2 linked regions of the Rhinolophus ferrumequinum genome follow. The protein of the gene in region 1 binds, or shares a complex with, the protein of each later gene. Links are inferred from orthologs where the notes say so. Each region holds a gene or a part of one and is shown in the gene's direction. Other genes may lie near its edges.

Region 1 (7,884 bases):
TTCCAATCCATGAGCATGGAATATCTTTCCATTTATTTGTGTCTTTATTATTTTTTTCCATTAATGTCTTATAGTTTTCAATATATAGGTCTTGCACCTCCTTGGTTAAATTCATTTCTAAGTATTTTATTTTTAATGCAATTTTAAATATGATACTTTTATTTCTCTTTCTGATAGTTTGTTGTTAGTGTATGGAAACACAACAGATTTTTGCATATTGATTTTATATTTTGCAACTTTATTTATTAGTTCTAACAAGAGGACGGAACTCTTCCAAACTCATTTTATGATGCCAATATACCAATGATACCAATACCAGAGAAGGACACCACAAGAAAAGAAAATTACAGGCCAATTTCCCTGATGAACAACTAAAATCCTCAACTAAATACTAGCAAACCAAATTCAGCATCACATTAAAAGAGTCATTCACTGTGAACAAGTGGGATTTATCCCTGGGAAGCAGGATGGTTCAACATATGCAAATCAATCAACGTGATACATCACATTGACAAAATGAAGGATGAAAATCATAGCATCATCTCAATCAGTAGATGCAGAAAAAGCATTTGACAAAATTCAACATTCATGATAAAAACTCTCAACAAAGTGCATATAGAGGGAATGTACTTCAACATAATAAAACCCATATATGTCAAGCCTACAGCTACCGTGTTTCCCCGAAAATAAGACCTAGCCAGACCATCAGGGTCTATTAATATAAGACCCGGTATTATATTATATTATATTATATTATATTATATTATATTATATTATATTATATTATATTATATATTATATTACATTAAAGACCCAGTGTTATATTATAGTGAAATAAGACCGGGTCTTATATTAATTTTTGCTCCAAAAGACGCATTAGAGCTGATGGTCCGGCTAGGTCTTATTTTTGGGGAAACAGGGTAACATCATAGTCAACGATGAAAAGCTGAAAGAAAGCCTTTCCTCTAAGATCAGGAACAAGACAAAGTTGCCACTCTTTTTACTTTATTCAACATAATATTGGAAGTCCTAGCCAGAGCAAGAAAAAGAAATAGAAGATACCCAAGTTTGAAAGGAAGAAGTTAAACTATCACTGTTTACAGATGATGTGATATTATACGTAGACCCTAAAGACTTCATAAAAAACCTGTTAGAACTAGTAAAAGAATCCAGTAAAGTTGCACAATACAAAAGAAATATGTAAAAATCTGTGGCATTTTCATATACCTCACATTTAAAACAAATAATAGTCCCTTCTCACAGGGTTGTTGTGAGGATGAAAGAAGATGGGTACGAGTCAAGTCTTGAGTACAGAGCCTGGCCCAGAGCACGTAGAAAAGGGACCGGAGCTGTTATTGCAGTTGAAGGGGTATTGTATTGTCTTAAAGATGAGGGACGTGAAGCACTTTGTACGCTTTGAAACACAACACAAATACCATGGGTGATTGATTATTCCCTTGAATCTCCTCAGGGCATGGGTCCTTCCACCCTCAGAGGAGGAGTCCTGAGGGAAGCCAGACATTACTCTGGATAAGGTGCTAGTCTGTGTACTGTTTGACTTTTGAGCCTCAAGTTCATGTTCAGTTTCTGCCTGGCTTCCTGGCCTGGGGGCATTCTAAGCAGCTATAGGGCGAGTCTACTAAGCAGCTCTAGGGAGAGTGGTCCAGAATCTGAGGGGAAGTTTTGGTGATACAGATGTGGGTGGGCCTTACTTAATTCAGCTCTGGTTTTGCCTAGTCCTGGGTGACCTGTTGGTAATAGTGACTGCTGGAGATGTGGAAATGGCTTCAGGGGAGGCCCTCCTGGCACAAGTTACTCTGGTTGACTTTCTTGTTTACCTGAGAATCAAGGACTCACAGAGCTATAGTTTGGTAGCATTGGCATAGGCAATGCAAATAGTAGCTGCTAATGGTTACTGAGTGCTTATTACAGGCCAGGCTCTCTGCTAAGTGCTTTATATACTTTCACATTGAAACCTAACAGCCCTGGGAAGGTAGGTATTATTATTATCTCCTTTATACAGATGAGAAAATTGAGACTTGTAAAGTAACTTCCCTGGAGTCATGTTTTGGACCTTGGTCTGCCTGATTCTAATAGATCTTTTCATTGTCCTAAGTGATCTTTGCATTTAGTCGTGCTTTAGAGTCACCTGTGAAGTTCATTCAAATTCTTGCTCCTTGGGCCTTAACTCCATAGGTGTGAGGTGGAATATGGTCCTGTAGTGCATTTATTTCCCCCGATTTAGTGAGGTATAATTTACATAAAATAAAATTCACCCACTTGAAGTGTCTAGTTTGATGAAATGTAGTAGTTGTATATAATTGTGTATCACCACAGTCAAGATATGAAACATTTCCATAACCCTAAAGAGTTTCTTGTGCCTTTTGATCCCCTGATGCCTGCAGTAGTTATCAGCTGGGCAGAAGGTTCTGTTGCACAGCCAGGTGTAGGACCACTCTGCTGCGTTATGGTGCCTGCAAATATGAGGAACTGAAGTCCTGGAGGAGGAGGAGGAGGATAAAAGCAAGAGAAGAAGGAAAAAGACACTGAAAAGGAAGAATGATTGGCCTGTTTCTAGATAAGCTATGTTGTACTAGCTACTTGTGGAGAGAGGGAGGGTGGAGAGGAGAACTTTCTAGACCAAATCCACTTAAAAAAACAAACAACAGCAAAGTTTCTTCCCCTACTATGGTGTCTTCCTGAGCCACATAGACCTGAAGGATTCTGAACAAAGTTGATGTGGATGGCTGGGTATGTTGCTTTGGGATGGAGTGGTGGGGCCCCTGGGTACTATTGGTAAGCTGCGGGAGGGACCCTGGGAAGGGGGAGGAGGGCAGGAAGGGGGTAAGGCACTATTGCTAGGCATCCCAACGATAGGACCTCTTCCTCCAAGCAGACACTACTGACCTGGGTTCCTTTGGCTTCCCTCTACTGCAAGAATCTAGTGGCAACTCTTCTTAATCTGAAATCCATTTAGGACAGTTAGCCTAGAGTCAACAGGTTCAGGCTGTGACCCAGAGAACATTTGGATAATAAGGTAGAAAATGTAAACCGTAGCTCTGAAACTAGAGAAGATTAGGATGGGAGCTTTGTGCCAAGAGTCTGGAGACTTTGATTCTTGGCTTAGCTCTGACCCTGATTTTATTAGATGGCCATCTTGGTGCTCTTCTCTGAGTTGTCTCTGTTCTGTATACCTCTTGTGGTTTGAGTGGTGAATAAAGTGTGCAGGTGGTGGCGGTGTGGTTCCAACACATACATTGTAGTGAGGGCAAAAGCAGGTTGCAAAGGAAATTCTGTGAAATTTTAAACTGGCTCTTAATGGCTGTGTATTAAAACCTGAATATGCTCAGCCCTTAAGTATTTCCTTTCCTGGCCTTTTTTTTTCTTTCTTTTTTCTTGTTTGTTAGATGTGACATTTCCCCCTTTTCTTGTATGGTGGAGTTGTGAATGAGGGTATGAAGTTGTGAAAGAGACTCATCTAATTATGTCCCTTCTATGAATCACCCAGTTGTCTTCCTGGTGGGTGCCTGTACTCTGGCACATATTCTGGGATTCGGTTTCCTTATTTGTGATGTTCAGCTTCTGGTTGCTGTGATTCACCTCAAGAGGAAATATCTGGAGTAGAGCCACAGGCTGATTAGAGGAGGAAGGGGACAGAGAGGGCAAAGACATGAGGAGTATTGTTGTGAAAGGAAGAAGTGTAAACACAGGACTTGGGTGGGGGGGTGGCGAGCGGTAAAGAAAATCACCCAGGCCTCTTCTCACTTGAGAAAGAGTGAATTTGGGCAATGGCTGCATCTAAGAGGACACTGCGATGTAGGGAGATAATCTTTGAGAATGACACCCTCGCCAGTTTGAGTTCTGCTGGTTATAGAAAGGTGATAAAAAGTTTAACTTTCTATTAACGTCAGTGTCCCTCCTTCCCCACTTGGTTTTAGGGGTTTATAGCAGTGAAGAAACTTTAACAGGTCAAAATTATAACAATAGTAGATGTACTGAGCATCTCTTGTACTTCAATATGTGTCATGTCATCCTACCTGAAGCCCCCCCACAAAAATCTAGAGTCCAGTAAAATTTTCTTCTTAAACAACCTTACAGATTAATGAGAAGAAAAATGGAGCATTGAAGACATTTTTAGAATCATGTTATTTTAGAGCTGAAGGGGACTCTAGAGGTTTCTGGTTGGACCCTGTCTTGTGGATGAAGAACTGAGGTCCAGAGCAAGGAAAAGACTTGCCGAAAGTCACTCAGATAGCTCGTGGTAGCCCGCGTGGATCCTGATAAGCGCAGGTGTTTCCTGGAGGGTCCCAGCCTGGAGGTGCTCACGGATGATTTTCTGAGGCATCAGGGAAACCCCCAAACCCATTTTTGTGGCTAACCAACCATCAGTGCTGATTGCCTCAATGGCCGCTAAGCCTCTTGGCTGTGGCGAGGAGACAGACTGGCCTCTTGGCTTTCCCAAGATTAGGTATGAGAGTTCAGTTAGTCCAAATGGAGTCTCGGCAGCTGGAGATCACAGGGTGTGAGAGATCTTCAGCTGGAAATGGGGGAATCAGTGGGAGACTAACTAGTTAGAGACACAGCTTAAGTCAAATTTCAACAGGACAGACTTCAGGAAGGTATTTTAGGTTTGTGCTATGGCATTGGTGGTCTTTCAGTACGTCGGAGGGAGATAAATGCCTGCAGTATTTACTGTGATGGCTTTACGGCAATCGTCTTTGGTCTTGTGCCATAAAATCGGGTTTGTTTCAATTGCACCTATTTTTACCAGTTTCCCCCCTTTTCTAATTTCTCTCTGCATTTTTCTCAGTTTAATCAGGCTCTTTCCCCCTAACTCCCCCTCTCTCTATCAGATTCTCAGAGCTACTGCGGATTTTGGGAGGAGGAATTGGACCGTGAGCGGTGACCTACAAGTCAATTTCCCCAGGTGGATAAACTCCTCTGCAAGCCACAGAGGGGCCTCCTCATTCCAGCAATCCGGCGGGGCTGACAGACTCATTCGTGGCCTGTGGGGGCAGGGCAGGAGGTGGGGGCCAATGTTTCCTGGGCTAGTGAGGAGCTGCCAGAGCCTTTGCAGTCTAGGCAGAGGAGACGGGAGCCCCTGGGGTGGGCCAGTCGCCTGGACCGGGGATGCCTGCGCAGATGTGGAGGCAGCTGGAAAGGTGGCAGTGCACTGGGGTTGCGGGAGCTGCGCTGTTCCTAGGAGACGGAGCAGCCAGCCTGCGGGGGAGGGGGAGCAAGTGGGTTGCTGCTTTTAGCAGCTGAAAGGGCTGCAGGGAGCTCTGGGTAAGACATTTTCTGCTGCTGCTGCTTCTGCGGTAGAAGCTGCCGCTAGTAAGTCAGAGGAAGGAGGATCGAGAGGGAGGAGGCTTCATTTGCAGCCATGCTGAATCACTGTTGCTGATCAGGTCTCCCGCTGGTTGGCTGCCAGACTGAGAACAGAGCTAGGATCCCTGGGTGCATGCACAGTTCAGCAGCTGCCACCCCCGCTGGGCCTCGCACAATGGAGGGTGAAAGGTATGTATGTATGTGTGTGTTGTGTTGTGTGTGAGTATGTGTGTAAGTAAATGTGTGCTCTCGGGGCAGCCACCAGCTTTTGTGTTTGCGTTGGCTAGGCAGGGTCCGAAGACCTGGCCACTGCTGGATCCCCGTGGGCAGCAGAGTAGAGCCGGGAAGCCCCTTTCTCCAGAGACCTAGCTTCCGCAAAGGCAGGTCTGGGTTTGCTGGGCAGCGGAGCACCCTGAAAGAAGGGACTTCCTGGCTGGTGTTTGGTAATAGTTTCAGCACGGGCTGAATCAGGATTGCCTTTCTCAGGCTGTTTCAAGGAGGCGTTTCCCTTTCCTGGCTACTTTCCCGGGGTGTTTTTTCTTTGGTGGGGGGTTTTTTGATGTCATAGCAGGGCTGGCCTGGCATAGAGTGATTGCGTTTTCACATTGAATTGCTCAAATCTTCAGCAATCATGCCATGCTGATGTCTTTCCTAAAAGTGTGTGCGTGTGTGCGTGTGTACGTGTGTGTGCGTGCGTGTTCCTATATACACGCACAAGTTCAAGTAAGAAGGAGAGAAACCTGTCAGATGATACTTGCTTTGAACTGATTTCCATTTGCATTGAAAAGTTTATAAATGTTACTGGAAGGTATGTGCTTGAGAGGAACTCTTGCTTCTTCTACCAGGGGTTTCTTATGAAATAGGAATCAACAGAAGGGAATTTAAGTACTTTTGTTGAGCTGGATCTTACTAGCAAGGGTTTGTTTCCTGGCAGGCACATGCATGTCAATTTTAAACTGTTATCTGAGGATCTGCTGCTTTCATTGTGAAGGTGCTCAGTGCAGTGCAAGGGCAGGTCATTCCTCCCTCTTTGTGTTAAAACATCTCCTCATGTTGGGCCAGCCTCTTCATTCTGTGGATCTGCGGCTGGGAAAGAACAAGGCTTGCCATTTTCCTTGAGGTGAGAAGAGAGCAGGGAGGGGTCAGGCCATGGAAGCCTCCAGTGGGAGGAGGGCGGCTGCTCTGAGCTGCCAGTCTGATGCAGATGGTAACCGGCTGGTTACATGATAACAGGTTTAACTAAATCAACACTGTCTAGAGAGAACCTCAGTAAACACTTGCCTTTGCGTGGATTCTCCCAACTCTTGCATCTCATGCTGCAGAATGACGTCATTAAAGATCTCTAGATCCCATTAGAACTGGTATGATTTTTGGGGCCCCAGGGACTGTGTTTCTTGATGTGACTCCCACAGGCAGAGTCTGGGACTTTTCAGACTGAGTGTGCTGCTGGTCTATCCTCTCCCTGGGTGCTCTTTGTAGCAGGAGCTGTGTTGGACTCCATGTGGCCTGTTTCCTAGGCTTGGGGCAGACGTGGGCAGTGTCTTCACCTTCTCCTATTGGCCTGGTAGCTAGCAGAAGGGCACGGGTGATGTGAATGGAGGTTTAGAGATTCTGGACCAGGCCTGTCTTCTTGACCCACGTTATAGCAGGGCTACAAGATCCATGTGAGACCAGCAGCAGCAGCAGTTCCAAGGACTGCTTCCCACGCATTTTGGGCCCCAAATGTGTTCCCAGTACTGTGTTCAGAAATGTAATGAGTCCTTGCCCTCAAGAAGCCGTCTCGTTCTTTAGTGCTCTGGTGACTCAGCTGGGATGGCTGATGTCTTTGGCTTTATAACACCTGATTTTTGCACACGTTCTTTTGCTTTTCCCTTTTGGAGACAGAGACTAGGCAAGAAATCCAAACTGAGCAACTTCCCACATTCACCAGGTCATTCAGCTTACTGCATTTTGTTTCCACTCCAAGGCCAGCTTACTGTGCCAGGCATTCGTCTTCTTCTGAAGTCTGCCTCTAGTCTCCAGTCCCTCTCATAGGCTCACCCATACCCCACCAAGGGGTCTACTGGTCTCTTGTGGTCACCCATCCCGTATTCAACTCCATCCAGCCTCAGATCCTTATCTTCCAGAGTTCCTTTTTCCTGCAATGCCTTTTCCTTCCTCTTTTCCAAAAAGTTATCCATCTATCAAGTTTTAAAATTCTTTATCCAAGAAATCTCAGCTTTTCTAGTCCTGGCTGGTGTTCATATGAATTTCAATACCTCTAGTTTGTATCTCATAGTTGGATACTGAATAATAGGCCCACCCACAAAGTCTTTTTGTGCTTTTGTTTCATATATCGTATAAGTCCCCAAACTTGGAGATAGGTCCTCAAGGACGATACCTGTACCTCTGAATACTCCTCGTTGCCTACTGTGTGACTGCACGCGCAGTAGGTGCTGGATAACTATTTGCTGATTAGCTGATAACTTCTGCGAGAAGCTCTGATAACTAAAAAGAAAGTTGGTGAGAGAGAAGATTGAAGCCTTTGGCCAATGGGTTCATCCTTGGATATCGGCC
Region 2 (7,215 bases), on another chromosome or scaffold:
AAAACAAATACTCTGTCAGTCTCTCTGGCTTTTGTGTTCCAAAAGAGAAAGCCCTAGAGAAGGGGGATTAGGGTGCAGGGGCAGAGACGAAGTATCTGGGCCAGAAAAGTAAAAGGAAGAAAGATTTGCACAAGCTTATAAAAAGATTCTTCTCTTTCTCACTCCTCTCTTCTTGGGGAGAAGAGGCAGAGGGAGCTCTGTGGGAGCTCAAGCAGCATACACTCCCAGAAGCAACCTTTGGTTGGTAGGAAGAGTCAAGAGAGGACGGGCTGTGTGGAATGTCTAGGCAGATGGACCAACAGGTGACCTTGGCAATGAGTTCTGTGTCCTAAGTGTGGCAGAGCTGTTGGAGAGGACCACAGCACTTGAAAGAACCCAGGTGGTTCGAGGGCTCATCAATAACTGACAAGATCTAAGGATATGCAAGTAGATACATTTATTCCACCCCCATGACTGGCCACTACATAAGATCACCAAACTATGGCATCACCTGGGATAGGAAAATGAAAGTCAAGAATAATTTATATTGTTTCCCCAATAACCTGGTAAAAGGAGGGATCAGGGTCAAAAACTGAGTTCCAGAAATGGGTACAACTCTACCCATGGCTGTGGTAGTCAGCTGACTCTCAACTTTGAGGTTCATTTTGGTTCCATTTTCATTGAAGGAGTTACCATCCTGTGTAGTCCGGAGAAGATGAACAGCTAGCAAGGCCATGAAACTAACCCCCACCCCCATTCCTGTGGGATGCTAGGGTCTAAAAATGGATCTAGTGAAGGCTTTTGTAATTTCTTGGCACCAGAGCCTTCAGATAAGATTAACTAGATTATTGGAAGAATGTTTTCCTGAAATAATGTAAAGCCAAATTACAAGTGGTTAATGTAAGTCGAATTTTTTTTTTTTAACATTTTATTGGGGAAGGGGAACAGGACTTTATTGGGGAACAGTGTGCACTTCCAGGACTTTTTCCCAAGTCAAGTTGTTGTACTTTCAATCTTAGTTGTGGAGGGTGCCGTTCAGCTTCAAGTTGTTGTCCTTTCAATCTTAGTTGTGTCGGGCACAGCTCAGCTCCAGTTCCAGTTGTTAGTTGCAGGGGGTGCAGCCCACCATCCCCTGCGGGAGTCGAACCAGCAACCTTGTGGTTGAGAGGACACACTGCAACAAACTGAGCCATCCAGGAGCTCAGCGGCAGCTCAGCTCAAGGTGCCGTGTTCAATCTTAGTTGCAGGGGGCGCTGCCCACCATCCCTTGCGGGACTCGAGGAATCGAACCGGCAACCTTGTGGTTGAGAGCCCACTGGCCCATGTGGGAATCGAACCGGCAGCCTTCGGAGTTAGGAGCATGGAGCTCCAACCGCCTGAGCCACCAGGCTGGCCCGTAAGTCGAATTTTTTATTTGATGAATAGAAACAGCATACAAATGCCACTTGACAGTGGAAACCATTAGGTAAGAAGGGAATGTTCTCTGCTGTTCGTTGTTGACTAGCTACAAGTATAATTGCCCACTCCCCTTTCTGCCCATAGTGACATTTGTGTTGAGTTGTAGACAGGTTGTTTCAAACAGAAGAGCACATATGTCAATAAAAGGCCTAAATTGAGAAGGGCGTGTACTTGGATGGGGAGCAGACTTATTTGATTTTCTAATTTCTGAAGTTTATAAAAGTCACACTACTTTGTAGTTATTTAACAAATGTTTGACTGTCAAAGAGGTACTCAAAGAGGAGTTCACATCTGAGCAGGTTGAGGGGCTAATGTTTCTAAATATTGTTCTGCATTGATTACATCATCAAGCTCAGAGACAAAGGAAGAGGAGCACGTCACAATTGCAGGAGGTATCTGTTGCTTTTTCTAAAGGTGGATGTATCATGTTTTCCCGAAAATAAGACCTAGCTGGACAATCAGCTCTAATGTGTCTTTTGGAGCAAAAATTAATGTAAGACCTGGTATATATTATATTACATTATATTATATAATATTATGTTAAAGACCCGGTCTTATATTATAGTAAAACAAGGCTGGGTCTTATATTAATTTTTGCTCCAAAAGATGCATTAGAGCTGATTGTCCCTCTAGATCTTATGTTTGGAGAAACACGGTATGTGGTGGTAGTGGGAGTAGGGTGACATTGAGAAATAAAAATAGTGGGTACAAGTTTCTAGTTACCATCTCAGTGGTAGTCAGGACCTACAAAGACTTGGAATGATTTGGTAGCCTTTGACACTGTCCTTGGGTGGTTATTTGGCTATGCTTCCCATTTTCCCCATGGTAGTCAATAATTCAACAGGGAAAAGGAAGTATCTTCAGAGGCAGTGGGGAAAGAAGGATTTGGGGAGATCCCATCCATTCTACAGCTAATTTGGAATGCAGAGACCTCTAAAGTAGAGTGGTAGGACTATTTGGAGAAACCATACCTTGGTCCTCCAAATTTAGCCAGGAAGGAAGATCTTCACCGGTGGAATAGCTGGACCCTATAACTCTGAATTTCATTGCCTCAGAGTTTCCCCCCATTGTCAAAATTTGGAGATGAGGGTTTGAATTTATTAAGGGCAAGGTCTGGTTCACTTGCATGTCTGGCAATACTGGGATTCAACAGCGACTTCCAAGAGGAAAGATGCAGAGACAAGAAACAGGGCCACCATTCCACTTGATTTGGACTATGGAAAGTTAAATTTAGTGATTGGTTTTTAAAGAGCTGAAAAGACTGAGGTTCTGAGGCCTACAGTAAGAAAAGAAAAAAAACGTGTTGGAGAGAGGAGAGATTGACCGAACTCAGTGATAGGGCCTGGAAGCTGGGCAGTTGAACATGTTAGCCTGGCATTTTCCAGCCTCCTACTCTCAAGTCATCCTGCTAAGTCTTGTGGGGCATTGGGAAAGAAATCCTGCCCTTAAGGAGCTTTCATTCAGGGGCTGTGACACCAGATGCACCCTGGGCGATTGAAACATGCTTGGGCTCAGGAGTGAGCACACCTGGGTTCAAGTTCTGACTCCTTGATACATAGTTATGTGAACTTGAGCAAATCATGTCTATTTTCCCCTCCTGACCCTCAGTTTCCTCTTCTGTGGAGCCAGGATTGTTCATGTGAGAATGACAGAAACAATTCTGTATTGCGCCTGACACAGGGCAGGAAGCAGTTCTTAAACAAAGCTGCTACGCCGAGGTTAACATGCAGTGAAAGCTCCAAGGAGGTAGCATTTATACCAACTAGAGGATCTGGAAGGTGGATGGTAGGAGATGGTGAGAGCCAGCCTCAGGGGGAGGTGGCCTTTCCGCATGCGCGCATTCTAGGAGCCCTGCGGAGCAGTGACGGGGCGGGGCCAGGTTTCTGAAGGGGTTGCTATGGCACCGAGGGGCCAGGGGAGGTTAACCAAACCCTTAAAACCTTACTCCCTCCCCCACCCGCCACCGTCTGGGCCGAGGGCCATTGTTCCCGGCAAAATGGCGTCGCTAATACCCCTCCCGGCAGGAGGTCTAAGTAAGGCTGAGGGTGGGAGTGGAACTGGAGGTGGGAACAAAAACTACAATTCCCAGGGTACACTGCACCTGCCCGCGAGGCGCAGGGCACGTGCCTAGGCCTAGTGGTTACAAGCCGTCAAAAATCCGTTTCATAGCTTCCCTTTCCCATCCCCGCTGTCGTTGTTGCCCAGCCCCCGCGCGCGCGCACTGCGGTCCTGGGGGGTGGGGGGGGACATACCGTGGCCGTTGCCCTCGCAACGTAACTGGGGGACCCGTATTTGTAAATCTGTGCTTCGACTTCTAATCCCAAAACCAGCAGGTATGGGTCTCGCGAGAAAAGTCAGGGATTGCAAAAAGGTAGTTTAGGGGTGGCGGGTGAAAAGGTGACGGCGGGTACCACATCTCGGCAGAGCTACCGCATTTAGAGGCATGTGGAAAACTGAGAATGGGCGGGGGGTGGCTAGGAAGTAGTGTGTGCTTGGACTTTTTTTTTTCTGAAAAGGGTAAAGCAGCTGTGGAGAGAGCTTTTGAACACACAGAAGGTGTCACGCGTGGCTCCTCACTGAGATTTTTCTTCTTGGAAAGGAGAGAAGCCTTTCTCCTCGAAGCGCATCCCTCTCTCCCGCTGCGCTGAAGAGGGCGGAGGAGGAGCGCGCACGCTCCAGTTGGCTAGCCACTGGGCCCCTCGCAGCGCTGGGGGCCGTTCTGAGTTGGGGCTGCTCTGTCAGCTTTCTCCGCCCCTCCCCCTCTCCTTTCCTCCCCTCCCTTCCCCGTCCCCCTCCGCCCCTCTCTTCTCTCCATCTGAATTCCCTGGCTGGAGTACGCGTGCGCCTGCTTAGCTCCCAGGCGAGCGCGAGCTTGGGCTCGTACCCCGCTCCCCCAACCCCGCCCGCTCTTTACCTACCCGCGGTAGCTGGCCCGGTGGGCTCGCGGGGAGACGCTCGCGCGCGCACGCGCACACGACACGGAGCAGAGCTCCAGACATTCAGGAGGAGAGTAAGAAGCATCCGAGAAGGCGATAGAGGAGGAGGAGGTGTGTGTGTATGTGTGTGTTCTACGGTGTCGCTCGTCGAGGGGCGACCCGAGGCTTGAAAGAAGGCGAAGGAGAAGCGAAAAGAGTCAGAGTCTCCCTCTGCGAGAGCCCCTAATCTGGTGAGGGTCCCGGGCCAGCCGGGGCACTAGGAGAGAGGGAGGAGGCCGGGGGGCGTGTCTGGGATCAGGCTGCGAGATGAATGGGCCGGGGATGAATGGAGGGAGGCAGCGGCGGCCAAGAGTCTGTTAGAGGAGTAAGCGCCCTAGTGGGGGGCGGTTTGACCGAGGCGGGGTGATTGCAGTCACCAAGAGGTATGGGACGATGGGACGAGGCCGGGCTCCAGTCTTCGGGGTTGTCGGAGCTGTTGTCGGTGCGAGCGAACGGGCAGAGAGGAAAATTCAGAGGGGAGAAGTGGGGAAGGGCAGGTTTGAGGATGAGGTGCATTTTTTGTCTTTTTTTGTTTTTGTTGGGGGGTGGCAACTTTGGGAGTTGATGGAAGACTAGGGGACGGGGAAGGTGCGGAGAATACTTGAGGGGGGCGGGAGACAGTTGACAAAGGACTGAGTGATCATTTAAGTGAGATTGAGGCTACTGAAAGGAAAGATCGCTTCGGGTGTGGGAAGTTGAGTTTCAGTGGGTATTGGGGTGGGGGAAAGTAGATTTAATTGAGAGATTCAATTGCTGTGTGAAGGTCGGTAGGACTGGATCCGGGTGAAGAATAGTGCTGGCTGGTTGTGTCCATGGGTTATGTTCAAGGAGATTGAGAGGTGTTACTTGGGACGAGTGGTGTGTTCTGTGGCCGACAGGTTGGGAATGGGGAGGAGATTACCATCTGTATGATGGGGTTAGGATAAAAGTGGTGAGCTGGCTTCACTGTACTGAAAGAGGTTTTGTTTGACTAGTTAAGAGTGGTGAAACATTTATGTAGTGGGGTGTGGGTGGAAATCCTGCACGTGTGTGTCTCATGTCTTGGAAGTTGATAGATCTTGTTAAAATCGAACCCTCAAAACGTGGGAATGGTATGGCTATTCCTTCATAAGACTTACTGTTGACTCAAGCAATTATATGAATAATAGCCTTTAAAGTTGTGCAGATCTTCTGTACAGTAGTGATTGCATCCAATTTTGTGAGGCATTGTTACCTGTTTTTCATCTATAGTAAATTGTAATGCTAAGAGAACTTTTGAAGAGGTTTCAATATATGACACAGAGTAGCAGGTTTCTTCTAGACAGTCTCTACCCTTTGGATTGATGAGTGTAAAAATTGTTTAGACTTAACAGTCCAAAAAAAAGTTACTTCGCATTAAAGGATAGCTAAAATGCACAAAAGCTGATTTTGAATGCTAAAATAATTATACATATTTTTTTTGTCATAATGAATTTACCTTGTTTGAAAATTGGCGCTTGCATTTTGGTATGTTTCCAGCAGATTAAGATTACTTGGACATTCTGTTTTTTAAATACATTACTTATCATTTGGTAAGGATGTCTTGTGATAGTCTCATTGTGTTCTGAATCAAGATTAATAGTATATGGATTTTTTTAACTTTATCGACATATATTCATTTATCTTGGAAATGTTGCAAATTTGAGAACATTCTTATTCCCTTTTCCTTTTATTCTGCTTTGATGTTGGAAAGAATGTAATCCTTGTTTTGGCTACCCAGAGTTTAAATACAAAAGTTAATACTATGTTCATATTCTCTTAGATTAAGATGAATACTTAGTGTATTAAGTGGTAGAGTAGAAGTATGAAAGCACTGTGGGAGCCTGGAAAAAAGTTGCACTGACTCTGGCAGGCAAGGTAGTCTCCCAGTTTTGAACTAGGTGTTCCTGGACTGGAAGAACATTCAAGTATTGAGGCTGGAAAGTTTAAGCATGGTATATTTGGGGAGTGGAATGAGATAAGGCTGGAATCTTAGATTGAGGCTGGGGTGAAGGGCTACCCTGCAGAGTTAGCAGCCCTTAACTGTTTATTAAGAAGAGGAATAACTTAAGCAGATTTGTGTTCATCTCACCGCCTTTACTTCTGATGCACCCCCATCCCCCAACCTGGAATGCTCTCTTGCCTCCTCCCTTTGAATTTGAACTCATTCTTTTTAGATTAATCTCTGCCATTAGCTATTCTTGAAAGCCTTTCCTGTTTTCCTCTTTTTTCCTTTCCCCAGCATCCTACACCAAGCTACGTTAGGTGCCCCTGTTTCGTGGTCCCAATACACCTTGTACGTATTTTTACTATCATACTTCTGTTGGGAGGCAGGCAGGAAAGTTATTTTCGTTTTTATACCTAGAACAGAAAGTAAAGCTTAGAAAAATAAGACTCGCCCTAGAAGTCGTAGACCCCTTGTTAAGGTCTATGCTAACGGTCTCTTACACCCTGAAGTTCCTACTTCTAGACCAATGCTGATCCTCACATCACAAGTCGACACTCGTTGAAGTAATTATTCTGTAGTGTTTTAGGAGTTAGATTTCTGTAATGTGAACTTCAACTTTCTTCTGTAGAGGGATTTCTTTTCATTACAGTGTCGCATCATTTAGCCAGTAAATGATAAAGCCAGTGGTTGCAATGAACCAGTCTCAAGTAAAGAAAATGATAACTGTTATATTGCTGTCGGATTGCTAATCAGGTAATTTACTTTAAAAATAATTAACGGAAGGCCTAAATTTTTGCGTATATGTATGGGGAGCGGGGTTGTGTGCAAGAAAACCCCTTCCTTTCTCAGTCTCCCATC

The links.
Region 2: the proteins of KLHL3 (region 1) and WNK3 are in contact, whole or in part, in a crystal structure (PDB 5NKP), measured with the Homo sapiens proteins. The link is inferred for Rhinolophus ferrumequinum from reciprocal best matches to the Homo sapiens genes KLHL3 and WNK3. Residues at the interface, in NP_059111.2 of Homo sapiens: Lys312, Arg339, Phe355, Gly357, Arg360, Thr386, Phe402, Gly404, Ser405, Gly407, Ser432, Ser433, Tyr449, Gly451, Arg454, Cys456, Ser481, His498, Arg528, Tyr577; in NP_065973.2 of Homo sapiens: Glu537, Cys538, Glu539, Glu540, Thr541, Glu542, Val543, Asp544, Gln545, His546.

Annotation. Positions count from the first base shown.
Region 1 is NC_046307.1:12,975,343-12,983,226, reverse strand, and holds the start of KLHL3 (kelch-like protein 3), read left to right. Parts: upstream 1-4,883; 5' UTR 4,884-4,927; intron 4,928-5,049; exon of another isoform or gene 5,050-5,162; intron 5,163-5,224; exon of another isoform or gene 5,225-5,408; 5' UTR 5,409-5,461; coding exon 5,462-5,517; intron 5,518-7,884. UniProt on the Homo sapiens protein: Substrate-specific adapter of a BCR (BTB-CUL3-RBX1) E3 ubiquitin ligase complex that acts as a regulator of ion transport in the distal nephron.
Region 2 is NC_046284.1:81,495,883-81,503,097, forward strand, and holds the start of WNK3 (serine/threonine-protein kinase WNK3), read left to right. Parts: upstream 1-4,207; 5' UTR 4,208-4,603; intron 4,604-4,805; exon of another isoform or gene 4,806-4,909; intron 4,910-7,215.